Lepisosteus oculatus: one gene and its partners. The protein of the gene in region 3 interacts with the protein of the main gene of each other region in a biochemical or structural test. Links are inferred from orthologs where the notes say so. Each region holds a gene or a part of one and is shown on either strand. Other genes may lie near its edges.

The links.
Region 1: of the proteins of GTPase HRas (region 3) and lztr1, one has a biochemical effect on the other in vitro, tested with the Homo sapiens proteins (3 studies listed by BioGRID, with this or other methods). The link is inferred for Lepisosteus oculatus from reciprocal best matches to the Homo sapiens genes HRAS and LZTR1.
Region 2: the proteins of GTPase HRas (region 3) and ral guanine nucleotide dissociation stimulator form a complex in vitro, tested with the Homo sapiens proteins (4 studies listed by BioGRID and IntAct, with this or other methods). The link is inferred for Lepisosteus oculatus from reciprocal best matches to the Homo sapiens genes HRAS and RALGDS.
Region 4: the proteins of GTPase HRas (region 3) and rassf1 form a complex in vitro, tested with the Homo sapiens proteins (2 studies listed by BioGRID and IntAct, with this or other methods). The link is inferred for Lepisosteus oculatus from reciprocal best matches to the Homo sapiens genes HRAS and RASSF1.

What each region holds. Positions count from the first base shown.
Region 1 is NC_090717.1:5,506,343-5,514,054, reverse strand, and holds the start of lztr1 (leucine-zipper-like transcriptional regulator 1), read right to left. Parts: upstream 3,011-7,712; 5' UTR 2,669-3,010; coding exon 2,499-2,668; intron 2,111-2,498; coding exon 2,048-2,110; intron 1,967-2,047; coding exon 1,910-1,966; intron 1,745-1,909; coding exon 1,665-1,744; intron 1,206-1,664; coding exon 1,097-1,205; intron 399-1,096; coding exon 315-398; intron 213-314; coding exon 155-212; intron 1-154. Other genes in the region: cldn26 (putative claudin-24), read left to right, coding at 6,812-7,462. UniProt on the Homo sapiens protein: Substrate-specific adapter of a BCR (BTB-CUL3-RBX1) E3 ubiquitin-protein ligase complex that mediates ubiquitination of Ras (K-Ras/KRAS, N-Ras/NRAS and H-Ras/HRAS).
Region 2 is NC_090719.1:15,006,283-15,013,552, forward strand, and holds the start of ral guanine nucleotide dissociation stimulator, read right to left. Parts: upstream 3,011-7,270; 5' UTR 2,830-3,010; coding exon 2,644-2,829; intron 1-2,643. UniProt on the Homo sapiens protein: Functions as a guanine nucleotide exchange factor (GEF) activating either RalA or RalB GTPases and plays an important role in intracellular transport. Interacts and acts as an effector molecule for R-Ras, H-Ras, K-Ras, and Rap.
Region 3 is NC_090716.1:17,135,944-17,143,473, forward strand, and holds the start of GTPase HRas, read right to left. Parts: upstream 3,014-7,530; 5' UTR 2,765-3,013; intron 1-2,764. UniProt on the Homo sapiens protein: Involved in the activation of Ras protein signal transduction. Ras proteins bind GDP/GTP and possess intrinsic GTPase activity.
Region 4 is NC_090699.1:64,638,070-64,644,917, forward strand, and holds the start of rassf1 (ras association domain-containing protein 1), read right to left. Parts: upstream 3,011-6,848; 5' UTR 1,758-3,010; intron 489-1,757; exon of another isoform or gene 401-488; intron 1-400. Other genes in the region: zmynd10 (zinc finger MYND domain-containing protein 10), read right to left, coding at 4,288-4,387, 4,868-4,993, 5,914-6,035, 6,196-6,321. UniProt on the Homo sapiens protein: Potential tumor suppressor. Required for death receptor-dependent apoptosis. Mediates activation of STK3/MST2 and STK4/MST1 during Fas-induced apoptosis by preventing their dephosphorylation.

The DNA of each region.
Region 1 (7,712 bases), on a different chromosome or scaffold from region 3:
AATCTTTAACGGAGCCAAGAGAGTCAATAGAATGAACAGTTTTATTGTTTCCTCTTAAATCGCTGGCATTTTACCGTAATGAACAAAATCTACACTTTCACTTTATTTTTGTACACATTATTGGACAAAAAATAGCACTTTATGTCAAACTAACCTCTTCCCAGCATGCTTGCTCACGGTCCTGAAGGCTGATCGTCCACATGTCACTTAGCCTGGAGTATTACAAGAAATAAATTAGTGTATGCCTTAAAAAAACAAAGATATTATAAACAGAATTATCGCGAATGGTCTAAGACAAGATGAAAATTATTTACCTTGCATTACCATCATACCCAGCAAAAATCCAGAGTTTATCACTGTACACTGTTGCTCCGTGAGCTGATCTGGCAACAGGCAACCTGCAGAAAGGAAACCAGAGAGGTGATACTGTTTCAGAAACACAACAGAATTATGCTCTCTTCAGCTTCTATGCAAGGCAAAATAAAAATGCATGACTAGTTTACTTTCTTAAATCAATGTATGAAAACCCGATTGTTTTTCTCTCTTATGAAGATGATTTTTTGATCTGGCCAAGAATTACATGCCTCATTAAAGGTAACAATTACTTCATTCTTGTATCTAACTCTGAATGCCTTAATGCTATGCTGATGTAAAGAAAAAAAGCTGGCTTTGAGGGAACACACATCAACAGAACAATGATTGATAACACTGCACGGAAAATACATTCACGAGGAACAACAACACCCAGGAATTAAGTGTGTGAAACATCTCCAGAGTGTCTTCATCACAATTCGGCTTAACCTGGCTTGCTGACCTCCTGGCCACAAGGAAGCTGGAACCCCTTGCAGAGTGAGGAGTGGGGCCCCAAGGGGCAGCAACACAGGTGGAGATGCAGTGGAGAGGGGATGTAAAAACGTTTGCAAAGCAGAGTAACAGGTTACATCTAATAGTTATAGTCTTTATGAAAGAAAATGATGTCAGGTTTGACTACAAATGATGTACAGCTGAGGTTGACAGACCTTCGATGTTGTCTTCCCTCCCAAACGCTCATTTTGAGCTCCATTTATAACAGTTTTGAACTGATGTACTACTGTACCTTCCCTCTACCTTCCATTCCGTCCACTGGCCTGTAGCAAACTTGTACTCAAAAAGATCATTTTTATTCTTCAGGTTGGAGTTGGAGTAGATGTCCCCAGTGTAGCCACCTGGAAATTTGAGACCGTACGGTTACGCATCACCAGCACCAGAAGAAAAGGCAAATACGTTTATTAATAAGACAGCCGTGTGACATGGAAACGCTTTTTGTTTAACAACCATAATAATGAAACAAATATCCATCTTCTAACTGCTTCCAATAATGCTGGCAAGCAGGAGCAAGGCAGGGGACACCCTGGACACAGACATCGCAGGACAGAAAGACTCTCGCATTTGGGGCCAGTTTCCTCAGAAGCCAATTAGCCTACCAGTATGTTGCTGGATTGTGGAAGGAAACCCACACAAACATGGGACAGAACAGACAAACATCATGCAGACAGCCCTCCCAGGTCCATAACTGATCTCACTGTGCCACTAAATCCCCCATGAAACACATTTTGCCTTAATTATGCCTCGTCAATACTGCATCATGAACATATAAACTGTGATAGAGGGGTAAGCTGCCTCACCAAAAACAAACATGCTGCTTCCATGTACTACAGCTGAATGGTGATATCTGGGAGCAGGGGGTGAACCAGTCGTAAAAGCCCTGGCAAGAAGAAGAAAAACAAATGACCAAACCAAGATGCAGACCCAAAAGCCACTTTAAAATAAAATGGGTCATAAAGTTCATCGTGGAGGGGGGAAAAAAAGTTATCTGTTGACATAAACGGTGTATAAACGCATTCTCCTGGAATGGAGAAGCAGGGATTACCTGCACCAGGAGCAGTCCTTGACATCAAACCGCAACAGATCATTCAGCATGTTCTTTCTGTTGGGAACGAAACAAATGTTCATACTTGCTTTCACCCAAGTCGCATGCTAAAATTACGACACATTAAATATCACCCACCCATTGTCTCCTCCGAACACGTAAATTGCATCCTTGTAGGCCACAACTGTGTGCTTACTGCGCCTGTCAAAATTCAGAAGCGAAAGCCCGGAATGATTACACGGTACTGTACTCAGTTAAGACGCGGTGCAGCATTGCAGTAAAATGTAGTAAAGAAAACTGATATGAGCTCTGAATATAATTTAAAAATCTTACAGCACTGTACGTTCAAATACACCACTGACATCATAATGCACATATCAAAATCCGTGTAAAACAAGACTCGCGAAGCTTTCGGAAATCACATGCACATGACGGTTTTGCAGTTCAAAAGCAAATCTCCATACTTAAAAAAAACATTTTTTTTTACGAACATATCTCTGTGAGGTCTGCGTGAGAGTGCAACCGCACCGTTAGACATTTAATAAGATCTGCACCTACAGGATTTACAGAAAGTTGTATTTTGTTTTACCTAGCACCCACAAACTCATCACAGGGTGGGAGTCTCCTCCAGCGATGGACGGTCTCAATCGGCCCAAAGTTCAGGGTCAGGTATTCGACACTGTCCGAGCAGCTGTGGTCAAAATCAACACTCGGGGCGACTTTAGACTTGCAAGACATTGTTCCCGGAAACCATGACATTCAACCGCCGCATAACACGACACGGTCAGTCAATGAAACCCCAGTATTAAAAACGGATTTACTGTCGTGCTAGCGAAGGTCCCTTCATAAACGTAGTTTTAGGGACCACGTCTACAAGACACAGTGGTTTCTGCGATGCACCACTGCACCAAAAAGCAAAAAAAAAAAATTAAAGCTGACTTTAAGTAGAAAATCAAGACGAATGTAACTTGTTTGACTGGTAAAAGTAAATACAAAAACGAAGCAAGTCCTTCGGAACAATGTAGCAAACGCTACATTATTTTACTGGAAAAAACGTTACAAATGTAGCAGAAAAGAAAAACACGCAACACACACCAAATAAACAGCCATTACACTACCACGCCACACCTCTTGCGAAAAAGAGATCCCTGGGTATTGTAGTTTATGTGTCTCAAGTTCCATTTGCAATTGATGCGTAGACTAAACAATAAACGACAACAAACCCCAGAAATCAATTCGGTTAGCTGGCAAAGTCCAATGCACACTGGGAGCAAGTCGAATTCGGAGAAGGCATGTAATTGTCATTGATAAACTTCAAGTAGCATCTTACGTGTTACTTTTGCAGGGAAGATGCTACTTGAAGAGCTTAATGTATTAGGTTGCTTTCGTTTAATGATCGAACGCTGAATACATAAACATTAAATCTAGTTGATACGTAGAAAAGTAAAACAACTCCCATCTGTAAAATACTGTTTTTTTTTTCAGAAAAACAGCTGAAGCTAAAACGTATCCACCATTTTCAGTGTGATGTGTTTAAAATTAAATTTAGACTTAATTATTTGTTTCTCTGAAGAATTGCTATTTGCATTGAAGGCAAATAGATAGCGAACAGATGAAGGCTGTAGAGTCATTTTAAGAGTCATCTTTTACGAATCAACTCTCTTCCAGTATCAGTCACTGTTACTGACGATTGACAGGAAAGATAATGAGCCTCTTGTAATAGTCATAATTTTGTTACAAGTACTTATTCCCGCTATAAGATAAGGACGCTCTTATTGCACAGACGGTATAAACAGGCAGAGCAAATCAATTACTCAAAAGAAAAAAAATGAAAAAAATGTGAAACCACCATTTAGATATGAACAATCCCCTTACACTTTTTTGCCTATTCTAAAGCATTGACACCGCATGGTTGTTTTGTTATTCAGGATGGTAAATACATTTTTTTTTGCAAATATGTTTATAGTGTTACCGATCTGTTTTTTGCTGTCATGCTTTTGCTTTTTTCTTGTCATGCATGGATCAGTGTGACAGGAGCGTAATTCCCACAGAGAAAACCTCAGAAACTTGTGAGTGAAGCACAGCATTATCTTTATCCTGAGTTCAAAGAGTATAGGCGATCTAGTTCTGCACATGCATAATTAGATTAGTGCTGTCTAACCCGGGAAGCACTCCCCTCACCACAGTGTGCAAGGATGAAACGAGGCACTCACACGGGAATATCAGTGGTAGGAGAGATAAAAAACTTAAGCAGATCATGTCAAGATAGTTTTCCAAAAAAAAAAATTAAGTAAGTATATTTACCAAAAAGAACCAAACCAAAACTTGATAATAATGAATGAAAATAAGGATGCTCAAATCGTGTTTGAATGATGGAGGGGCAGAGCGGTTGGTCTTAACTGACATTGATAAAATGTTGTGCTATTAGGTCAACCTTACTCCCAGGGTCAGTTGTGTGGTCAATGCAATGCGAAATGATGCAGAATGAGATCTTTGAGAGGAGAATGCTTGGACACACAGGACTGCCAAGCTAATTTTGGAGAACAGCCTAGAAGCACATTACCAAACTAGGCAATCTGCACATTAATGCATGATTAGGCTAGACAATAAGATGCCATCATGGCCATCATGAACGCTCTGTACATAGGTTTGCATGTCAAAGTGCTAGGAAGATGTGCTCAGTATGCAGAACAGTAGTCAACAACAAACCGACACCTTTTATAAACAATGACAATCTGCAAGACCTCTAGACCTTTTATGTCTCAGACCCCTTACCAACTTCTTCACTTCATAGCAAATCCCAAAGTGCAAGATTAAGTATGACTTTGGAAACAAGCTCTGAATCACCAACATATTAAAGCGGTGGTTCTGTGGCTAAGGATCTGTGCTTGTGGCTGGAAGGTTGCTGGTTCGAATCCCACGGCCAGTAGAGGAATCCTACTCCGTTGGGCCCCTGAGCGAGGCCTTTAACCCCAAGTGCTTCAGGGGTGCTGTCACAAACCGCACACAGACATCGTTGCATTCCCACGGGCATCCGATTACTAATCAACTTCGCTCATCTTTGGCTACTTAAACTCCCACTCTGCAACTTGTCCTCTCTCACTATTGAGGTTTCCTCAGCCAAAGCTACACGTCCTATTCGCAACTTAGTCCGACCTCTCGTTGTTCTTGTGATCACCTGGATTTCTGACCCCTTGCTCCTGATCTCTGTCCTCGCTCTAGCCTCCCGATTTGGATTACGTTCGCCTAAGGAATCCAGTTTTTTCTCTCTCTGCCTCCGCACAGGGTCAATTTTCCTACCCTTTTCCCTTGGCACACCTGACAGGCGCTGTATAAATGGCTGACCCTGCGCCCTGACCCCAAGCTTCTCTCTCTGTCTGTGTGTCTCATGGAGAGCAAGTTGGGGTATGCGGAAAGACAAATTCCTAATACAAGAAATTGCATATGGCCAATAAAGTAATCGTATCTTAAGTGATCTTATATCTGCAAACAAGTATTTTAAGAGAAAATGGTCCTCATGCTGAGTGATCATAGAGCTTAAAATAAGATAGACGACTAGATTAATCTTTGACCTTTCTGAGCAGAAACTAGTCAGTGCCTTTCAGCAGCTTCAGTTTCCTCATATATCATAGTGAGATAAAGTTACACTAAATAACCTCAGTTGAAAATTTGCCATTTAAGTACAAGGCTAAAGTAATATGCCTTATTATAATTTTAGTAATAACCTTGAAAATGTAACAAAAAATGGATGAACTCATCTAATTGTTTTAAGAAGAATGGGAAGAAGTACTCTCAACAAATCTGATAAAATTCAGGAGACATCTAGACATCTAGCCTTTGGAAATTAATTATCCAGTTCCACCCCAAAGTCTGTCTCAAGAAAATCTAATACTAAGAGAAACAGCAATTAAACACAAGTTAAATAGTTGCAAAAAAGGGCAAAAATGAAACTCCCAAAAGCCATACGAGGGAGCTAGAGACAACGTTTTCCCTGTATAACCGTTTCAATGAACATAGATAACAGACTATTATTGTGGCAGACTATACAGTGTTTTACCAGCTGTTTAAGATTGAAACCTAGAATTACGCTCTTTTGAAGGGAGGGAGGGGAATCGAAGACATTATGAAGAACGAAATAATAGTATGAGTACAATAAATCTTCATTGTATGAGCAGCCGATATAGTTATCCTTAAAAGTATCTGATTTCGGAAGCTTGCCTCAAAAAATTATGCACTAAGTTTTGGCTCGAAAAGCAAATGTGTGGTCTGAATGGAGACATTACAGGTCATACTGTAATAGCATACTACAATATAAAAAATATCAGGAGTACTTGGCGTCACAGTTTTTGTATCAGGTTTTACCATTAATCCAGAGGACAGCTGAGACGTTAGTTTTTTGTTTAATAGAAAGGCTTGTAATCTGAACCTTCAGCAGTAGCTATCAGTATAATCTGTAAAACACATTATACCATTTAATTCACTAATTAAACCTTTTTAATGAGTATTAGTTCATAACACAAGATCTACATGAAATGACTTACAGCCTATATGTTGACGTTTTAGACCAATTCGTTCCCCACAACTTTCTTTGAGTTTCCCCATTCTTTACTTGATCATGTTTCCTTTGCCTTGAAAACATCTTGTGTGTGCACTGCCGTCCGTTCTCTCTTGGACATATCTGGTTTCATCTAAAACAGTGCTCATTGTTCCCTATAATGATATTTATCGCTTTTACAAAACAGTATGTCTGTTGTTATGCTCAAGCTTAGGGATTACCCAGCATTTATAAGGTGCATTTATAAGGTACTTGATTAGGAGCCCTACCAGGTCATTACCACTGCAGAGCCTGTGCTTGCTGCAGCTCACAAGCTGTTCTCTAGACTGGAGCTGAACTGATAGACAATGGTGTTGTTGACTTCCAAACTAGTGGAGAGGATGGCTTTTTTTGTCTCCTTCGTGGGCTTTGTCATAACCTGTGTGGTCACTTTTCTGCCTCTTTGGAAAACCCTCAACGCGGAGCTCAATGAAATGGAGAACTGGTACGAGGGGCTGTGGCACACCTGCATTTTCCAAGACGAAGTGGGTCTGCAGTGCAAAGCCTTTGACTCCTTTCTGTCTCTGCCCTCAGGTGTCATAGCTTCCAGGGTCTTGATGATCTTTTCCATGGGAACAGGGCTCCTGAGTGTCTCTGTGGCCTTTTTTGGACTGGAGGGCATAAATCTGGGAGAGGGCAAAGAGCACGTCAAGAAGAAGCTCCTCATCCTTGGAGGGGTGCTGTCCTGGATTTCGGGGATCACTACACTTTATCCCATCTCCTTGGTGGCTTATGTGACTGTGGTGGAATTCTGGGATGACAACGTTCCTGAAATCGTTCCCCGGTGGGAGTTTGGGGAGGCTCTTTTTGCAGGATGGTTCTCTGGGCTGTTTCTTGTTCTTGGAGGGTCGTTCTTGTTCGTGTCGCTCTGCATGAGAAACAACATCCACTCACAAGTGCTCTCATCCAGCATGACAACCCAAAAGAAACCGCAATACTTAAAGACAGAGGTGTTATAGTCTGGATTTTATTATCTGCTCTTATCGTATATTTCTGTTTAAGGGGAAGGGGGACCTAGCTTAACATTTAAGTAATGGTGTGTGGAATCAAGAGGAAGTAAAAAGAACGTAAGCAGACCTGTTTAAGATGTGTCAGGAAGTCTTATTTTATTCTTTACAACTATTTCTAGTTAGGTTTAAGAAATTAATTTCAGCCAAAATGTTGAATTTCCAGTGTGGTGCTCCCGAACTCTTTTTACTGGAAATGTGC
Region 2 (7,270 bases), on a different chromosome or scaffold from region 3:
GCTGCTCCTCACTAGGACAGACGCTCAAGGCTCATGTAAGAAGCTCACTCAATACAGGGAAAATATAAAGCCAAAATGTACCAAACCAGTCGCATAAACAGAGACAGAACATAAACCTTTCAGAATTAAATTAAAATGAATAACAGCCATAACCATTGATTAGCTTGAACAACAGAAGCCCATTAGACGATGTGCTTGATGGTCAATAATAAGGCCTGTCTTTGCTCCTATTGCCCGTGTCCTCCTTTTATCTTAAAAGCTTTTTACATAATACAGAAGCAAATTAGATTATTTATTCACTTCTCTTATTAGAGAATATAGATTTTTGCCGAGTGTCCCTTGTATCAAAGGGACTAGGCAGTACAAAAATGCATCCTTCAAACACAGACAAAATGACCACTCCTGATCTGAAATCCCCACGTGCTGAATGAGTATGAATAGGATATGTCAACATCGTTGAGGGTCACAAAGTGCATTTGTTTCCCCATAAAGAGAGAGATGTAGGGGTCAATTAGTTCAAAGAGACCAAATACAGACTGTATTATGTTTGATGAAAAGATTCACTTGTTTTTCCACTCCATGCATAGAAACAAAATGAAACAGAGGAGCACTGACAACTGTATTTTAAGAAGAAATTAAATGTAATATTTCTAATAGGTGTAAGAGGTTTATATTTATAACAATGAGGGTCATTGGAGGTGGAATTAAAAATATGTGCAGCCTTGTAGATGTAGACCTTTCTTTGCGGACAAATGATGAGATTTGAACCCTCACAGGTGGCTCACAGGTATCCCTGGCAGAAATCAGCAGCACGACAATGGCAAACCTGCTATCAGCGCCAAGATAAAAGCAGGATAGTCAAGTGAACTATTCCTAGATTTTTCAAGGGGTGTCACTACATTGCCCATTCAAAGAGAATCCAATCATCTTTTTTCAGTGGAGTTTTTTGATTGGTTTTCTTCAGATCTGCCAGGCAGCCACCAGGATCACAGGATCTCCTTCACTGTTAATCCATGTTCAACACGACAGTTAATAAAAGGCTTTTGCAAAGAGATTAGGGCGCAACATTGCTCAGAAATATCTGAAGGGGCACACAGGCCAGGTCACGCATTAACTCTTGACTGCCACTCAAAGACAATGGCTTGTAAAAAATTACCCTGCTGCACAATGAAGTGTAAAGTGGCAAGAGAACTCCAGCCCCTTGAATCTAATCACCACGATGACTAAAAAACCAGGCCTTTTTCCAATATTTTGCCTTTTGAATTACTGCAGAGCCCCCAGAATACTGAATTGGATCACTGCAAGGCAATCCGAGTGGGTGAATTAGTCATCGGACAATCGGACACTGCGAGGCTGGGATGGGGGCAGCTGACAGAGGAAGACAGTGTCCGAAACCTGCAGCCCCAGAGAGGGAGACGGCACCGGCACTCCTAGTGCCACACATGGGAATTAGCAACAGCCCCACAATGAAGCAACACAACCGCTGAATAGTGAGGTTTAAAATTTAATTCAATCAGAGAGCTAGGTGACCAGGATAACATTGCGTCAAAGTCAAAGATGCATTGCAAGGACAACGCGCCCGACTGCTGGGTAAACTCTCCTTCTGTATCGGTCTCTACCATCCCATTCAGGGTCATGGGGGGCCGGAGCCCACCCCAGCAAGAAACAGGCACCAAGCAGGGCGCACCCTGGGTGAGGTGCGCAGTGTCCGTTCCCTACCTCTCTTGCAAATCAAAACCACAATGACACCAGGATATCCAATCAGATATCCTGAAGTTCAGTCCAGAACAGGCTGCGCTGTTTCCCTTCAAGACTAGAGCACTACAATACACACCGAACTCCTCGCCAGTGTCTAGCAGCTGCACGACTGTACTGACGGAAGAAACTCGTGTCACATTCCACCATGCTTCCGAAGACAGTTTGAGGGAGCACCGGCACTTCTAGTAAAACTGGGAGTAAACTTCCCAGCTCGTTGGAAGTCCCAGTTATGTCCTCTGTTGCCATGTCCTTTTAATAAGCCTGCCTGGTGATCACGTTACACAGCAATGTACAGTGCTGCACTCGTCTCGAGTACATATTTATCCTCTGACAATCACGGAAACGTCTGAGAGGAAAAAAACGCATTTTCTACCCGAAACGGAAACACGTCTCAATAGGAGCAGAACACCTCATACTAACATTTCTGAGCCTCTGACATTGCAGCCACATCGGACTTTGGGCAAGGGCACGGTGTGCTGTACACTGTACCGACCCCAGGCGCGACCCACAGATTCCCCGACACCGGTTTATTACCCCGCATTACTCCAGAGCCGTGCCAGCAAAGGGGCGAGAAAGCCTTCGTATTTACAAACACTGTGGGGGTCGCTGTGGGTGATAAAGACACAACACTAACCCCCCCAGCGCAAAGCTCCTCTCTCACGCAGAGCCACAGCTCACGGGATTCAATTTTCCGAGAACCCCGCCTGCCTGGCTTCTCCAGCACAGATCAAACCCACAGCTCGTAAATGTAGTATGCAATTCGCCGTAGCCCTCGTTAAAATAAAAAAAAAACAACCCAGAATCTCAAGCAATCTGTTACTGAGCGATGTTGAGCGGCGCCAGCTCTCACGGAGCACACCTCCCAGGGAGGTCGGAGCGCTTTACCTCCGGCTGGGGCAGGTCGGGGTCCAGCTGAGTGAAGCTGTGCAGCACCACGGGGCTGGCCTCGCCGGCCACCTCCAGCTTCACCCCGTCCCAGATGCTGCGTATCCTCCAGGCGCTGGCATCAAACATCATATCGGGGCTCCCCGAGCAGACGCTGTGCACCTCGGACTGCATCAGGTACACCATTGGTGACGGGGATCCCGCTACACCGGAGAAGACCCGAGACTGCGCGCCCTCTGCTTCATGTCCGACGGGGCTGGGTGTCCGCGAAAGCCGTAGTCCTGTCTCGGACGGACGGGGGCGTCTAAAAGAGCATTGCTGCGCTTGTTGCTTCTCTCGCCTCTGTAGTTCTTGCTCGGCTGCTACTTTCTAGCGCTGGCCCCGCCCCGCCCCCTCCCGAGCGGAGGCCCCGCCCCGTCCCCGCCCCCTCCTCCCTCCCCCCGGCCCGGCAGAGGATCCATGACGTCATTCTCGACCCGAGCAGACGACAAGTTCCGAGCGAAGCGGGGGGGGGGAGAGAGAGAGAGGAAAGAGCCATTTCTCATGAGCTGGACCCTGGTGCAAAGGGAATGGTGTCGCTGCTAAACGTGGTCGAACCCGTCCCATCCCATTTACTCTAAAACAAAAAAACGGGGCAGCGCGTCGTTTTCTAGCAGTTCGGGCACGAAAGCGTGAATGGGCTCTCCTCTCGGGACCCAGCGACGCGGTGTTTTCTGTTGACCGTATAAACAGTGGGAAGTACTGTGGCCGAAGCTTCTGGATAATTATGGTCTCCACTAAACCCTCCCCTGAGCTTTCTTTCCGTGACACGCGTTTCTCCGAAGTGCGGGGGATCTGTTTTTCTCCTCCGTGGCCGTGGGTGGTGCCAGAAACGGAAGGTCGTTGTCTGCAGAACTGGGGTCTCTTCGGGATAACGCATCTCAGCCAGGCAGCTCCTTCAAACCGGTCAAAGACCCGTTTAAAACGAGCTATACAGCAGCACGGGCTGTTCCTCGCCTTTAACTGTGCTGCATCACAAGTGCTTGCACATTTCTTATTTATGAGGGATTACTCCAGTGACATAATCTGGGCGCACTGAAAACAGCCCTGAGTTTATTACCTGTGTTGAAACTCTGTGTGCTGGAAGTATCGACTGATTTGGGAAAAGGGATTAGGTCTGGAGAGGAGATGATCCTTGTTTTTTCGGGGGGGGGGTGGGATGCAAGATTAATGGCTTTTACTCGGAATTGCAGGTTCCCGTGTTGGAGTCGTTCTCTCTACGAATGCAGAATTGCCTTTTCTGGGCTTTTTCAATGCCAGCAACTCTAGCTTTGATTAGCATGTCTCTGTGCTGGGAATCTGAAACGTGGCTTTCTGGCGGCATCTAATCCAACACCCACCACGTACAACAGAAGGGAAAGCTAAGATCAGAGCAGGTTTTAATCACGTGCGCGCTTTCTTTATTTTAACAATCGCAGGGGTGCGATTTCCCATCCTGCTCCTGCACTGGGGCCAAACTGGGGTCTGAGTGTTTTACACTGAACCCATAAGGGGCAATGAAGCTTCATTTGACCCAGCGGGCAGTCTTCTGAAATGCAGAAGAAAAAAAAAACCGCAACTGCAGACAACATATGCACATGGGACTCGGAAGAGAACAGGGAGGGCGAGGGACAAAACACCCGCACTCCAATAAGCAGCACCCCCGTGTCCAGCGGCTGCTGTTATCACCTGCGCCCTTGTCCAGGGACACCCGGTGGGAGTCTGGAACAAGCTACCCGCCCGTGTTTTTGAAGCTGATTATCTGTGTTTTTTTTTCACTTACTGTTTGGATGATCCTGGGATCAGTCTGGCTTGTAACCAGTGAATGTTCTACCTCCATGGCAAGCTGACGCACCAGCTTCAGCTACAGGGCAATGAATGGGCATTTCGGCTGCTAGTGTCCACAGCTCATATACAGTAGACCCAGGGGTTGACTGGAGATGACCCGTCAGCTTTTAAGAATAGCTGGATATTGTGGGTATAGTCATTCTCTGGTCATTGTTCTGTATAAAGTCACACTGTGGTCACGAGGGGTTAGCAGGATGCTTTGTCTCCTTTACATCACGATGAAAGGACTCTCTTATAAATAAAATAAATCTGTTTCTTTCCCAATGACCTTATTTACAAGACACTAATAATGTTGATATTGTAAGTCGCGTTTCCTCCATCTACCCACTACAGTACTGAACTGGAATCAACCTGCTCATTTTGGGATTTGTGTGGAGCTTGCATGTTCTCCTCATGTTCATGTAGGGTTTCCTTTCTGGGTGCTCCGGTGTCTTTCTACAGTCCAAAAACTGGTGGGTTCATTGGCTTCTGGGGAAACTAGCCCTGGGGCGAGTGTGTGTGTGTGTCTGCGTGTGCCCTGTGATGGACTGGCGTCCCGTCCACAGTGTACCCTGCCTTGTGTCTGTTGCTTCCTGATAAGTCTCTGGCTCTCTGTGACTCTGAATGGGATAAGTGGTTACTGAAAGTGATGTGATGTGAAAAACAGAGTCACAATTTTTGAAGGCAGGTCTTCCTCAGTTCAATATTCTGAGGTGGGTAGAACATATACGTTTTACTGGTGCCAGTGATGTTCTTTGCAGTTCTCAAAATATTCTGGCAAAATGTAAGTTTTTATTTAAGACCTTATTTGAGAGACAGTAGTAACACCTCTTCCAGCAGCAGCCTCAGCTCTCCCAGTAGGTCTCCCCTCCAGGTACTGGCCAGGCTCTCACTGCTGGGCTTCAGCGGGCTGCCAGCTGGGAGCTGCGGGGCCACAGGGCTGCCAGATGGGGTCACCAAGCTCACTGCCAGTCACAGTCAGCTCGAGACACAACAAAGACAGGAACTAGAGATCTGTAGACCACGGGGCCCAGTCCACACGCTTAAACTGGAACCAAAAACGGGGGCTCCGTTATTCCACACCCCCAGAAGATGTGCACCCCTCCGTTTCTTCCGAATCCGGCTCCAGTGGGTGGAGGTGAACATCTGTGGAGGAGAAAGGCAGCCCCACGTGTGCAGCTGCTGTAACTTGATTTCTAAGACGGTTTTGCTAATTTGGTGGTATTCTGCCCCTCTCCCGAGGAGGAAGTAGTGAGGGGGAGATTAGTGCACCGTGACGGCAGGCACTCGGCGAACTCTACAGCAGCTGCTCCGCGGAAACGCAGCTGCACAGACTGTACCGGCTCCTGCCACCAGCCTCGTCCCCATCCTCCTTCCCTGTCTTTTTGCCTTAAATCTCTCCAAGATTGACTCGATGTTTAAAGTGTCATCAATATCCTGCTCTTCATACTTGAAAACAAGTTTCTACTAAACACTACTGCTTTGGAAACATCAATTTCCGTGAACGCTTAGTGTTTCCTTTTGATTGTTCTTGTTCTTGTTCTTGTTCTCAGGTCTTGTATCATTTCACAGCAGGGCAGACGATCGCATTGCTGCCTCTTCTTACTGGGTGTGTGCGTTACAGTATTTCAGCCTTTCACGCTGTGGGTCCGGTGGCGTCAGGGCCCTTCCTTGCAAATATTTCCTTCTCTCCTCACGAGCCCTCTTGTTCCTGGAGCAGTGCTTGGAAACCCCAGAGCCGCGGGGGAGCGCCGCAGTGGCCCACAGTGTCGTCGGGCAGGCGAGAGTGTTTCCGTTTCTGGGACAGAGACTGCCCGAGGGCCTGAGCCCCAGCACTCCTCTCCGGCTGCTTCCTGATGCCAGAGGCTGCGGCAGGAACACTGTACTACTGTACCTCTCACCTCCAGACCAGACCTTCAGGTCTTTGAATCCCACTTCCCATCCACCCTACATTCTTGTTCTGCTCCCTCCTGTCGCGCCAGCTGTGAGTAGAGAAAGCCGCCCCACCTGACTAGACTACAATGCCTTTCTCTGCCAATGGACAGGCACACAGCTGGGCTGCTGTGCTTCTCTGGTGCCCCCAGGAAGCCACGATTAATGGAACACAAGCATGTAACTGGTTTTCTAAAGGATTGCTACTCATAATCCGTATACCTTATATTCATCCAGAGACTACAAAACGAATCTGGCCGTACTTCTCCATCGATCCGTTTTCTAACTGCTTCTTCCAATACAGGGGGGCTGGAGCCCATCCTGGCCAGCAACAAGCACAAGGCTGGACACACCCTGGACAGGACGCCAGTCCATCGCAGGGCACGCGCACACACACACACACACACACACACACACAGACACACTCGCACCAGGGCCAGCTTTCCCAGAAACCAATTCGCCTACCAGCACGTAGGAGGAAAGAGGGCGCCAGCAGGAAAGCCATGTGAACACGGAGACAACATACAAACTCCATGCAGATAGTACCCCAGGAACTGAACCCAGAGCCTCAGTACTGTGAGGCAGCAATGCTACTATTGTGCTACTGTGCTGCCCTACAGCATTTAGGCTTCCTGGAAACCTGTCTTCCATAACACAGATCCTAGCACTGGCTTAATAATCTGCACATTCCTAGACATGCTACACACATAGTCTGAAATTACATTTTCCAAAAAGCTAAGATTCTAATCATGATTAATATTTGCATGCTGTATTGGAACTAGAAATTAAATTCCCCTAAAATATCATTTAGAAGGGAAATGCAATCCTGGAATGAGATCAAGGAAATGGG
Region 3 (7,530 bases):
CCTTGAATCAGGAGCATTAATTTGAACTGCTGGACTGTTTTCAGCTCTAAAAAATGTTTGAGATGGCCTTTTTGCTCTTAATTTCATAAGCAACATAAAATACCAAACTTTTTAGTAGAAAAAACTTGTATAGACTTTGATCAGGCGATTTGTTAGTTTAGCTAATGCTTCAATTAAGTCATCAAGCTTGGCTGAAATAAAAATCAGGAATGGGAAATTAAACCACAGTTCTTCGGGGGCACGGCAATAAATAACACATGTGTCTTTAAACCTGTGTCAGAACAAGAACTTCCTTCAAATACAATGAACCAGAGACTGTCACTCTCTATTTCATAGACACAATTAAGAATAGTTATTGTAAAATCTGTTAATGTGAGTTACTTCAACGCTCTTATCTTACATTTCTATTGATTCTTCTGGTCACCAGTCTTGTCAATAAGCTTTAGTTACATCTCTGCAGCATTCCTGAGACAAAAAAATGATTTGTATACTGGAAAGATAAAAGGTTTAAGGTTAGCCAAACCATTATCAATTATTTTACTGTAGGGTGTCCAGTTTTTCAAGTATAAAGAAAAGTGAATCCCCAGAATCCTACACATCAGATGGTACTGGATGTTATCAAAAAAACTGCAAAACCCAGGGGCTGCTTGCATTTGTACCATTTGCTTGGCCGAAACAGAACTTCATAAAACATGAACCAGATGAGGAAACTATGAGATAATGCACTTAAAGAAGAGGAGGCACATTTTTACACAAAGGGTTGCCTGAGCATGGAACAAGCTGCCCTCTGATGGAGATGAAGCTGACACCCTGGCTTTTTTAAGGAATAGCTGAATGGGAACCTCATATCATTTAGCTCTTGGCACCCACAAGAGCAAATGGGCTTCCCGTCCCGTTTCAGTTTTGTACTCAAAACAATGGGGCCCATTATTACCGAACTATTTTTGCCATTGAGGTGCATGTCCACGTCCCATCTGGAGCGCTCAGAGCACACTGCACCCAAACTTGTCAGGAGTTTGAGTCCCTTTCTGTCGGCTACCTTCGGTTCCCAGGATATCGCGACGGTCAATTTACAAAGCGCTGAGGAATAATCCTGAAAGTTCTTTGTGAATATTAATCATTTATTATTAAATAAAAGTCGATAATTTATTTGAGGGCGTTATGTGGCCATGCGTTATAAGGACGTCTTTCTGAAAGATCTCTACAGCACAATTTGTGTCCATCGTCGTGCAACTGGAAACCACAGGGATTATCGACCGCTTTTTTCACCCTCAACAAATTGTTAATGCGAAACTAATTTTAACTACGTTTTTTCCCCAATCCGGAAACTGTTCTTAATCATTACCTCAATAAGTGCGACTGCTCATGCTGTTCTGGCACGCTTTAAAAATGAGGTTTGAGCCTTAAAACACAGCACAATACTGTGCATTAAGCCAATACACTGGCTTTTACCAGGGTGATGTCAGATGTGTGTCTTATCATAGCACGTTTCTTTATGCAAGAGAAAGGAACTTCTTCAAGGTTCCTTACTGTTAAAAAAGGAAATCCGAGTTCCAGTTTGCAATTTAAAGAACGATTTCTTACTGGTGGTGGAATACGGTAACTAAATTCAGTAAGCCTGGGACTAGTATAAACTCCAATAAAATGTGTCTAGATTTTCAAAAACACGGTGTTATCTCCGTCTTTTCCAGGACAATAATGAGGTGGATAAGTGTTAAAAAAGCTGAAGCATGCATTAATCGTCCAAGATCTTAAATAGTGTAAAATTATATATCTAGTCAGAAGAAGGATTCGCCCAGATTTATACATCGGAATGAGCTTCCGGTTCTCTGAGGAATCCACTTTGAAAAATACAATATATCGACGCGCATTCAGCTATGACATTCAGGTACCGTGTTTATATACAAGCGCTGCTATAAATCTCTGCAACAATAATCGATTTCAAACGGGTTCCCGCTTTGCTTTGTTATTAGCGCGACCAGGGAGGCGTCACTTTCGCGTTACAAATGGTTTTGTGTCAACAACGCAATAGTCTGCACCCTTTAAAGAATAAAAAATGCGAATAAAGTAAAATTATTGTTTTTTAAATATATCTGATGTTGAGTGGAGGAATGTGACTTCCGCAGTGCTACAATGAGGTTTCAGTTTTGCTGTGGCGGGCGACACCCTAGTCAGACTTGATTCACAAAGAGCCGCAGTCAAGAAGCAGCAAACTGGAAACCAGCAAATACTGTAAATGTTTCGCCGCAATTAACCACCTGAGCCCTTTCTACAAACCGTAAGAGAAAACGGGCAGCAGCATCTTTCCGAGAGCCGGTGGCTGTTTTCCCTTCGCCTCTCTGCAGCAGATCCTGCACTAAGTTTCCAGGCTCCGTGCGCTCTGCAGGTTAATGGGAGCACAGCCGAGACAGACGCTTTATCGCGTCAACAGCAGCTTGACTTCGGGAAAACCGCCGCTTTTTTGAGCCGTTTTACAACTCGCACGATTTTGTGTGTTGCAAGAAATAGAAAAGGAAAGCTCATCTTACAAATAAAAAAACCCACCATCAGCGGGGTGAGCGATGCAAACGACGCCTTTTATACCTCGGTAGAGCTGGGCGGCTGTTTTGATTTTGGCGGATCCGCTGCTCTCCAAACGCCCGGAGAACCGCAGGGGAAAAAATACCGCGCACACGCATCAATGAATAATGTTTATCTGAAGCTTCGTTAGCTGCGAGCAGAGAATGATTACAAAAGCTGAGAAAGCGGCACGATATTTGCTTACCAACAAAAAACCCGCTCTCCCGAGCGGTGGGAGCAGTGCAGACCTCTCAGAGACAGCGCAGTCCAGCGCACAAACTCGCGATCCTCCGGCCGGAGCACGGCTGACCGGTGTGCTTCTCTCTGCGCGCCGACCCGGCCGCTGCTGCTGTCCGCCGCCTGTGCTGGCAATGCCCGCCGCCGCCAGGCGCTCTCCCGCTGCTCCGGGGAAGGGCTCCGCCGCTGCCGAGCAATGTGCCGAGTGCGCACGGCGCCGCCGCCCAGCCCAGCCCGCTCATCAATCACGCCTCCTGCGCTCCGCGGGCGGGCTGCTCGCCGTGCCGGGCGGGGAGCGGGGCGGGGCGGGAGACGAGGGGAGGCGGGGCCGGCTCTCGGGGCGGCCCCGGGGACAGCAGCAGTGCCGGGTTTAAAGCCCTCACGCCACATGTCGGGTCCCCGGTCCAGTTCAGTCCGCGACTAAAGCAGCTTCTGCGAGCTGACATATCCAGCAGGCAAAGGAAAGCAGGAGGAGGGTACAGTTTTGGAGAGCTTACGCTTTTTTATAGTTCATCCCTTAACATGCATGTCAGATAAACACTGACGGGAGCAGCAGTCGCGTTAAATAATATACTGTTATATATCGCGTTAACTGTTGTGTACAATATGTGCATGTATTTAGGTAATATGATTTAGTCAATGTTTAAATAAGTATTGTTTACGATTTGCAATTGCGTGTCAAACACTTATCAGCTTTAAAACAAGACTTTCCTGTTTACGAGCATAAAAATTACAAGAGGTCCTTTTTGCTTGCCTGGGTGCGAGAAATGTAATGATCTTTTTTCAGCTCCGTGAAGATGCCCCCCTACAGACAGCGCAAAACGATTAAACCCACCTCATTTGTTAGTGCTATTTGTTTATATGCGTTTATGCCGGTTTGTGCCCTTGAACGTAGCATTTGTGCTGCTTTCGTTCCCGAGATATAGCGCCTTGTTTTTCCGGTGATCATGTGACCATACAGTGACCCCCCTTCTGCCGACTTCAAGCGCCCTGTTACGGTTTAGCTCGTTTCCTTAACATTTTAAAGGCGATCAGCATCCATAAACATATGAGCCTCCTTTGATGTGAAAAATACCCATTATTCCCTGTATAGTAATGTACGTAAAATCACCGTGATTGTAAGATCTATGGGGAGGGGGGGTTTATAAGGCACGTCTTTCTTTTCTTTCCCTACCATGACACGCTCTTGCCAAACACGTAACTGTGGGATACCATCGCGACAGGTCATACCAGGCCGCAGCATGTCATGACAGGGACCCCATGTATATCGCATGTATATCGCGGCAGCGTATATCACGACTGGCGCCTTGCTTCCATGCCACCCTGATACCGCTGTCACATCAAAGGTCTCATATCAGGACATGATATACCCAGATAGGTTGTGTTGCGACAGCATAGGGCCTTTCATGTCGCAACATGGGGCGGGGCATTTTTGCCGGGGTATGTTATAGCGATATGCGGGCTACATGTCGCGACATGGGGGCGTGCGTTTTGTCGGGGTATGTCATATGCGCTGTGGCGCTTCACCCAATCAGAGTGTCGATTCTCACTCTTCACCCAATCGCGGCCCGAGCTGTTCGGGGGTTTAGCCAATCACGGGTCTGAGAGCTGTTCAAGCCAGCAGCGCCGGGTGGATCGGCTTGTTACTGTCAATGCGAATCTGTTTTTAAAATGCTTTACTTATTTGCAAAATAACTACATTGGCTTATTTTTTAACGTCTTTATTGATTCACAATGTCCCCAACTCTTAGAAATAAATACATTTGTTATTTGCAATATAACTGTCTCCGCTGCTTCCTGTAATTAATACATGGTATTTGAACAATTTTATTCTTATATTTAAGGTGGGGGAAACACCTGCTTCTTTGTACTTCAAAAATGAATAGAAATGTAAAATCTACGATCATTATATTATTATACTTGTGCTTTCAATTTTGTTTTTATTTTTTAAAATTATATCGATCTTGAAACTAATTCCTAAAAATGTGAATATGGGCTCTCATGCTGTACCAGCGGTAATTTGGAAACTGGTGGAGTACACAAGCAATACATTTTCGAGAACTTGGTTAAAAATTAAAAGAAAACACCTAACCCAATGAACTAACATAGTAACTCCCCTCTAAATGTAAGACTGTTTATTCGTGTAAAGGCTGCAAAGTCTGTGGTCAACTGATCAAAAGATCACAACTGAAGGATCTGGTGGACGTGACTTTGGTGTTTTGTACGTCACGGAATTACTTCACAGCCAGGAAAAGAAGGCGCTGTATTGAAATATATTGAAACATCCACCCCACCCGACCAGACAGACTAAGGAAAAAAATTGCCCCCATTGTTTTAATCACAATCAGAAGTTCAAGTACTGATATTGTTGGTACCTGTAAATTTCCTTGTAGATAGTCACGAAAAACAAGGCGCTATATCTCGGAAACGAAAGCAGCACAAACGCTACTTACAGCGACACAAAACGGCACAAACGCAGCACTAACGAATGAGGTAGGTTTAATCGTTTGTGCTGTCTGTAGGGGGGGGCAGCTTCACGGAGCTTCTCCAGGCTCCAGGAGTCCAGTATTTCCTGCTTTCTGTTCTTCTTTGTGTCCCAGTATCTCATATTAGTGTTCAAAGATTATAGTTTACATTACTGCCATTTAGTTAGCCTGAGATCGAAGATCGTTTTGCGCATCCTTAGCTTGGGCAGGATGAACGGGCTGAGTTTAAAACTACAACTCCCAGGATGCATTAGGCACTCCCCTCTGTCTCCAGGAAGTCCTTTCCGCGTTGCTAACCAAACTATGTGTGTTTAACATGTATGTGTACGCACATCTTTTAAGGCTGAACTGATACCTGAATAAAATGCATTCGCCTTAATTCGCTTGTACAAGGTAAGATTTATTTTATTTATACAAAGGAATAGATTCCAGCTGTTGGTGGATTACTGTTAACATTAATAAACTTGTAACATACACATAATCCCCGCCAGCAAACAGTACACTGTTTATTAATCGCCTTAAATTGATCATTAAGAGTTTCAAGTAATTGTACTTATATATGCAACTGTTGTGTGCGTATGTAATCACTCATGTCTCCTGGTGTGAACATTTTAGGATTCTGTGTTTTCAGATTGGCAGGTGAATTTTCAGGTGATGTGCACGTTGCGGTTTGATACGCATGCAATCACCAAGCGAGAGTGATAACTTCAGAGTACTGTGTTACCAGCACGCCGAGTCAGTCACCAGGCAGGCGTACAGAGTAGCTGACGCAAAAAGATTTTTTTAAAGTTGGATCCCCAAGTCTTATGCCCAGACTGGTTTCGCTGATGTGCATGAATGTAATTTGCTCAACATGCTGTAACCAAGGCTGTTAAGTTAAAGTGAGTCTTCCGTGCAAATCATTTTACATTTTCAAAGCATTGTTTTGGAAGTGCTATAAAAATCATTGGAGAAACCGAGTATCTAAAGGCTTTAGGCTCTCCCTTTTAAAAATAAGGAACACCAACTTAAACAATTGATAAGTTAAACACTTCTTCGGTTCAGCAATCTTCAGTTTCTTTTGTGCTGAAGGGTATTCTGATTTTTGCTTCAAGCAATCACTTAATTAATTTATTTAACAAAACACACGTTTAGTTGATCACAACTAAAACTGTTCCAGTTTAGGGAAAATGATTATTTAATGATTACCCGCACAACTTGCTGGTTTTGTGCTGTCTGTGACTGGGGTTGGAAACTCCTGCACCATACAGTGAAAAAGGATGAACTGAACTGAACTGTTTTCAAGTGACAATTCAAAGGAACATTCATCCATTTTCTCCAATTCAGGGTTGCGGGAGAGCCAGAGCCTATCCCAGCAAGCAATCGGTGCACGACAGGGTACACCCTGGATGGGACACCACAGGTCACCCACAGAAAAAAACATGCACACACTCACACCAGGGTCAGTTTCCCAGAAGCCAATTAACCTACCAGTATGTCTTTGGGACTGTGAGAGGAAACCTGAGCACCTGGAGAACACCCACATGACTGTGGAGAACATGCAAACTCCACACATATAGCATCCCAGGAATTGAACACAGGGCCCCAGTGTTGGGAGGCAGCAAAGCTAACCACAACACCACTGTGACAACCCGCAGGAACATGTTTCCAGATTTTTGTAGTCTCTTTGTCCTTACGGTTTTCCTTTAGTACCATATTTCGTGCAATGAACTCTTGATGACTAAGAATGATTAATCTCAGTGTTATGTTCACAAAATGAACATATCATTTGAAGATAAAATAACTTCTCTTCTAATTTCTGTGTCTTATTGCAGAGGTAGTCACTGTCTTATGTAGATGAGTTGTTGTTTGTGTAGTGTGTAGTACAGCTGTTTTTCAGAAAGCATCTGATTTAAACATATTATTAAGCTCAATTGTTTATGTCAGTCTTTGATTATGTGTTATACTAGTATTGTCAAAACCTGGAGTATTGCATGCATATTTTTTCATGAATGAAGTCACTAATTATTTTAAGTGTAGTACATCTTTAGTTATTTCACAGTGATCCCTCTCTCTAAATTTGTTGAACATTTGTTTATCTTAGCAAGTTACACAGTAAAGTTCTAGTACATTACCTTTTTGGAGGCATGGGATGTGAAGATTTCTACAAATCTAAAAAAGTCTGTGTAGTTTCAAAAATATTTATATATTTTGCCCCAGAGTAGTTAAATTAAATCTTTTTCTCTAACTGGATGCTTCCTTAGACACA
Region 4 (6,848 bases), on a different chromosome or scaffold from region 3:
GCTTAACAGAATAACAAAAATTACAATACAAACGAGAGGACACATAACAATTCAAGACAAAAAGATAGTCAGGGGTGCATATTACTACATTAATTCAAGTTATGATTAAACAAATTAAATAAAAATAGGGTCCGCACCGCTTTCATATTTTTGCACTTTGAAATAGTCTGCAAATACCCCCTTACACCCATTTTAAAATGCCCAAAGGGTTCTTCTCAGGCCACTTCATGTTATGTATATAATAACGCGCCATTATAATCATTAAATTGATTACAAACGAAATTGTAATATTGTTTTCGATGGGGCTGAAACTTAACATAACATCTTTTTCATCCAAACAAATATCAATATTGGTTTCTTTTTTAATACGAGTCTGCAACTTAGTCCAGAAAATATTTACCCTGGGACATAACCAAAACAAGTGCTGAACAGGTCGAAGTTTAATCGCGCTCGCCCTGCTGATCTGTGCTCTGACGTCTCAGCGCCCCGCGGTGCCACCTGCGCGCCGCTCCGCTCACGGGAAACTCCGACTTGATCCGCGCGTCTTTCACGCGCCCCGCGCCCACGCCCACGCCCACGCCACCGGGAAGCCGAGAGCACAGAAGAGGGGGTGACAGTCCTCCAAGGGCCACGCACGCCCCACACTGGGGGGCGCCCATGGCTGAGCCTGTCCGAGCTGTACAAGTAGGACAAGCATGCTCACAAGCTGGTGCAAAAATAAACAACCGTTCAGTTTCGCCACTAGTATAAAAACGTATAGACGTTTATTCCCCAACACACACATTTTTAAAAATGCAAATTCAAAAAAAAAAAGCTTCCAACAGTGAATGTAAAGCCTCTATTGATGCACGGAGCCACCGCGCACTCTGGAGATTTTCGTTATCAGAGCTTCGACTATTTTATTTTAACCGCTTGGGTGCAATCCGGTTATTTTCTTCCGGACAGAAGCGGCCCCCTCCGTGGGAAACGCATTTTGAACGCCGCCAGGCGCATCCCAGATTTTTAAAGGGCAAGCGCAGATGCTGAAACATCCCCATCTCCCCGCCGTGCGGGCGGTATGAGGACCCCGGGACACCGCGCTGATAGATCGAGCTACACTTCGTTCATGTGAATTTTATCACGAGAGAAAAAAAAAAACCACTTTGTGGCGCTCACATTATTTTAAACTACGGGTCATAAATTTTTTTAAAAACTTTTTTTCTCTCCTCGCTGAGCGGGGTGTAAAACGCGAAAAGAAATCAATGATCCCTTCGGGAGGGAGGGAATCAGTTGGGTGAAGCTGCGGGACGTTATCTCACGATGCCTCCGGGAGCTGTCCCCATCTGGGGCATTCCTCAGGACAACACGCTGACCCGAAAATGCGGAACGACCACTTCTACTTTTCGGAATGAATCGCACTTCTGCTCCTCCCTGGAAAAAAAAAATCGTTTACGCTCGGATATAACGTTCTGTCTGGAGCTGTGATTTTTGGGGGATTTGCAACTGTACCTACAACCCTGACCGAAGTAAAACCCCGGCAACGTGCCCGCTTTCATAGTGTGAAGTCTTCAGCATCAGTTCAGACCTCTCTGTGCATCGCCTGCCCGAGACTAAGCCCGCTTGTTTTCAAGCGCTGGGTAACCCACGAACTTCCAACAGCCTTTTAAAAATATATATATTTCACCGTCGTGATTTGTAAAAAATTACACGTCGCGTTCACGTCGTCCTCGAAAAATAAATAATGCATGTAAAGATGTAAGCTGGGACACACCACTTACCAAGGCAAGACTCGATCTAGGTCACCGACACACAGGCGTGGCTACAGTGGAACAAAAACTGTTAAGTTTCAAACGCTGCAGCAATTTAAAATGCCCTTCGTGATCTGGAATACTAATCCTCCGTTATTATGTAAACAAAAAAGAGTTCGTGTTTGTCGCCGGCAACCTTGGAAGGACGCAATGGAGCAGAAGAAAAAAAGATAACAGTCGTCCACAGTTTGCCACAGATGTATTTTTATTCAACGCAGTCCATTTCCCCAGCTAACAAGAGAGAGCAAGCGAAGCGAGTTAACTCCTTAAACGCGTTTGCGACCACAGGCGCAGCTTGTCAGCGGCTACGCTGTAGCAGGACGAGCTTCTCGGTTTAAAACACCGCCAGGGAATTTTCAGAAAGTCTGGCAGCTTCATACGGTCCTTCGGTTGTCCACGCACTGTCTAGCTGGTGCTTGAAAGGAGGACAGAGAGTAATTGTCTTGAAACACGGAGAACGAACGGTTTTTCTCTCGCGAAAAGTAGATGCAAGCAGAAGAACGCTACACGAACGAAAGAGACCCTTTTTTTTCCCTCCGAAAGCTCTGCCCCCTTTTTCTGCCCGCGCTCATGTGATTTTATTTTCTCCTCCGTGCAGGACAGCCGAAAAAAAAAAAGTCGAAACCTTGCACGGACGAGCCCGGAGAGACAAGCAGCCGTCTTCATGTGCTCCAGCCCGGAGCTGGGCGCAGCTGTCGCGGCGGTCACACGGAGAGGCGAGGCGCGATCTGCCGGGCGCTGTTATGCTGGAAGGAATCCGCTGAAGTTTCCGTAGAGAGAGTGGGTTGAGGAGGTGTGGTGTCCCGTCTCAGCAACGTGTTGCGAAAGGGAAAAAAAAGCGAGAAGGGGGAACATTCAAAGCCTTCATGTGCGAGATACGGAGACCGCGCAGAGCCCGGTTGTTGGTGTCGACTGCAAGCCATCTGCAAAAGCAATGATGTTTCAAAGGGTTTTCCACGAGGTTCCACCTTAAGCATCAAGTCCTACTTTTCGTCCTGGGGTTGTACCCGAGGGTGGGCGCTGGGCACACGATCTGTACTTTTAACTATTCCCGGGCTGGTGCTGGTAACGGGTTTAGTCCTGCAACGTCTTACCGCTTACACGCTGAAACCAGCTATAATAAACGATTAGGGGTGTCAAATAAGTGTCAGCAAAAAGACCCAACACACACAACAAATTATAGCGAAAGACATCGCCCCGTCCGTATACTGTAATACTGGAATAAACACTGGCGGTCAGAAACGAAACAGATTTTTTTTGGAGGGAATGAGAACAACATTCAGGAAGATGCAAAAGTTAAATAACTTCCCCTGACTAGTGCATGAAAGTTATTTATTACTTGTCAATGTTAGAAGTTTCTTTTTACAGGGAGATGTTTTACAGGTAATCATGTTCCATTAGGGTGTAGTAAACACCAAACTGTACACATTGTAGTATCACAACATACACAAAGATATATACACAATCATGCTACACCATGGCCAAGGGATTCGGTGTAGAGCTCTTGTGTCCTCTGGTTGGTTCTGCAATCGCTGATGCTCCTCCCGAGACTATGAACAGTTCTTTCCAGATGTGCAAGAGTGAGGTAACACCATCGTTCTGCTTCCAGTGAGAGCAACGCACGCAGACACAATCAGACAAGTTTGTATTTCTAGGCCAGAGTTTCTGAAGAAGAGAAGATCTTGGACGAGCTTTTAATCTGAAATAGCAAACAGACAATAAACTACTGCCATTGGCCATCTAGTGGTTTCTGGCAGAGGGTGCAACAGCCTCTCCATCACTGCGCAAACATGGCCTTCGGTATATTACCCAGTTAAACCACTGAGAATCTTTTAGACAAATGGGTTGGATGGATGTTCTCCTCCCATTTCTTAACCGGTATGTCTGCCATGTGTCTACATGCTGACATCTGAGCAAGGAAGACGTGTGTATTAATCTTTAGAAGAGATGTCATGTACTGTATGTCACAAGCGAGCCAATGTTCCTGTCCTTTGACACGAGTAAGCAACAGACAGTTCCCATGTGGAAAGAATACAAATAACACATCTTGATCAGCCAAAGAGGGAGGGATATGTTGAACACCATGATATAGTAGATAATTGCACAGTGTCTGTTTAGCATTTAATCTTTGGCAGGGAGCCTTGGATCACAAGTAAAGCCCCAATTCTCTGCTGCAAAAACGCCCTCATTTGTTTTTATTTTTGTGAGCTTGTGGTTATTGTGCTACTGTGAGTTTACTAATAAATGTACAGCAATCAAAGCTATGTGACTTAGACACTATTAAAAGGAGTTTTAGCTGAAACCAGTGCAACAATAGATGAATTTTCTCAGAACACCAATAGCTGTCCAACGTCACCACTCATTTAGTTTTAGCACTGCACTGACATTGACAGTATATTGAAGGGCATGTCAGGCAGACTGCTGGGACCCTGTGCTTTAAAACCTCAGTTCAGTCTGGGCTGTCTTTCCTGTTAGACCCACTGCTGACTCTTCTCGAGTCCTACGGCTTGACGTCCAAGTCCCCCCGGAGTCTGTGAAGAGCTTCGGCCATCAGCTCACACGCTTGCTTGTGTTTCGGCCAGTGTTTCACCTGACATTCCCTGCAGGCAGACAAAACAGGTTAGCCTTGCGAGTCTAGAAAATACTAGGGGACCCAGATTAAAAGATTTCGGCCGGTGCCAATTCTAATTGCATTTGTTTTTTGTTGCAACAGACATGCAAGGGGGGGGGAGGGGAGGAAATAAAAAAAAACTCAGTGTTACAAAACCATGCAGTAGAAAAAAAGCCAAATTTTCTTTCTTCCTACTTTCTAAAATATTTTGAAGCAGGGATACAGCCACATAAGGTTGGCTGCCCACCCATTTTCATACTGTCCAATAATTATTTACAAACACTGAATGGAGTCTCACACTGCCGGAGGGTTTTGTCATGACTGTGGGCCTTCGTATTAAATGCTGACACCGTCACACTGGGTCCGCTGCAGCTGCTCTTCGTTCTGCACAGCACTCTGGGATTGTCTAGGCCCGCGGGCTGCTACAGGATGTGAACCCACTGCGCCTTCCCCCGACGGGGCGTCTCACCTGCGGCAGTACCACTCGCTCTGGCACCGGGAGCAGCGCTTGGCGGCCTCACAGCCACAGGAGCCGCACTTGGGTTTGTCAGGGATGAGGTTCTCCATGACATCCAGACTGTAGGTCTGGGCCAGCCTGACAGGAGAGAGAGGGCAAGGTGACGCGAGGAAGGACACATCTCTCTCTACCCACACCTCAGACGCCGCATCTTCGAGGTGAGTGGCTTCTCAAGGATTTTGCGCACTCCTCCAGATTTACATCATACAGTACTAAGGGACAAGTTATAGGTTTATTCCATGCTGAAAAAAAGAAGAAAGAGAACACAACGTTTCGGCCGTGGAGCCTTCTTCAGGTGTGAGAGAGACAGGGAGTGACTGCCCTGTCTCTCTCACACCTGAAGAAGGCTCCACGGCCGAAACATTGTGTTCTCTTTCTTCTTTTTTTCAGCAGGGAATAAACCTATAACTTGTTCCTTTGCAGCCTACGCATGCTGACGCAGCTACCCACCTGAACTAATACAGTACTAAGGCTTTTTTTAAGCAGCCCTTAATAAATACAAATGTCCTTAATGGGGTAAGAAATACAGTGCCTGGGAGAATAAAGTAAGCATCTGTGTCATATTTTGACTTGATCATTAAATACTACATGTGGCTCTGAAAGGGGAAGTAGTTGTGTTTCAGAATATTTCCAGATATTTAGTAAGCAAGCTGTGCCAGGGGGTAAATTGGTCAAGAGAGCACATGCCTTTATCCCAATTAACACCGCTCCCCACCACCACCATCACCACCACAATGAACAGCTTTGTTACTAAACATTCTTCTTTCAGACCCAAATCAAGTGTTTAAGGAGAAAGCCTTATCACACAAGTACCTGCTGATGCCCTTTCTTACACATGAGACAAATGCTTTGATTGTACTTTTATTCTGCTAGGGCACTACCCCCTATAGATCTCAGTGGCAGGTCACAGTTATATGCTGCTGCATAAACTGAGGCATGTTTGTGTAGGCCGCACTCTCCCTCTGCAAAGTCCTCACACTCCTGCCCCTCTGCCTTACCTGTGTGCCTGTTGCCTCAGGTCCTCTTCAGAGGGGCTGAATGCTTGCTTCACTTGGTACTTAGCAATGGCCTTCCACTTCCCAGAGTTCTCTTTCATAATATTATTCCACATTTCCGGGATCTACAGATCAAGGCATGGTGAAATAAAAAAAGAACAGGCAAGGAAGAAACATCACCGCGATTTAAAGAACACAGTAGGTGAAGTGATGCCTTCTTGTCAAGCAGAAAGGAGTCACTCACTTGCTTGGTAGGGGACTAGTTCTTATAATGCGGTGCTTTACCTGTTCCAGAATGAGGTCCTTCTTAGGGGGTGCGGGGTCAGTGATGGCCAGCTGGCTGAGGAAGCGCTGGAGCTCGGCCAGATTGGGCAGCTGGTCAATCAGTACCTCGGTCAGGAAGCCACGGAGCTGGGAATACACTCACAAACATCAGGATCGGGCCAAAACAGGTCCTGCGCTTACAGTAACCAGAGCACAACACACAGCAGCCACTATCTGCGCTTGCCTGAAGCGAACTGCATCACACATGGCTGCTCTGCTCACTTAGCTACACCACGGCTCACCATGTGTCAGAATTTATATCATTTTGTGTTGGAGAGTATTTAACTGAATGTGATTCTGAAGATGTATTAAATACTGTATATATACTCATATAAATATACCTGTGTATACACCGCAGGTGAGAGCCGGTGGAAGGCAAAAACATATACCAGGCCAGTGAAAGGAAGATGTTGTACATGAGGGGATTTTCAGAATGACCACGTTTTTATCACCATTTATACTAAAACCAAACCACAGAAAGCATGTTTTTAAGACTAGGGTATATTGAAACGAGCAGGCACCCTGATCACTATATAACAATAATTTCTATAAGCTCATGAGCTTTTTGAATCATTTAAAAAATGAAAAAAGTAAAATTGAATTCACACAGTTGT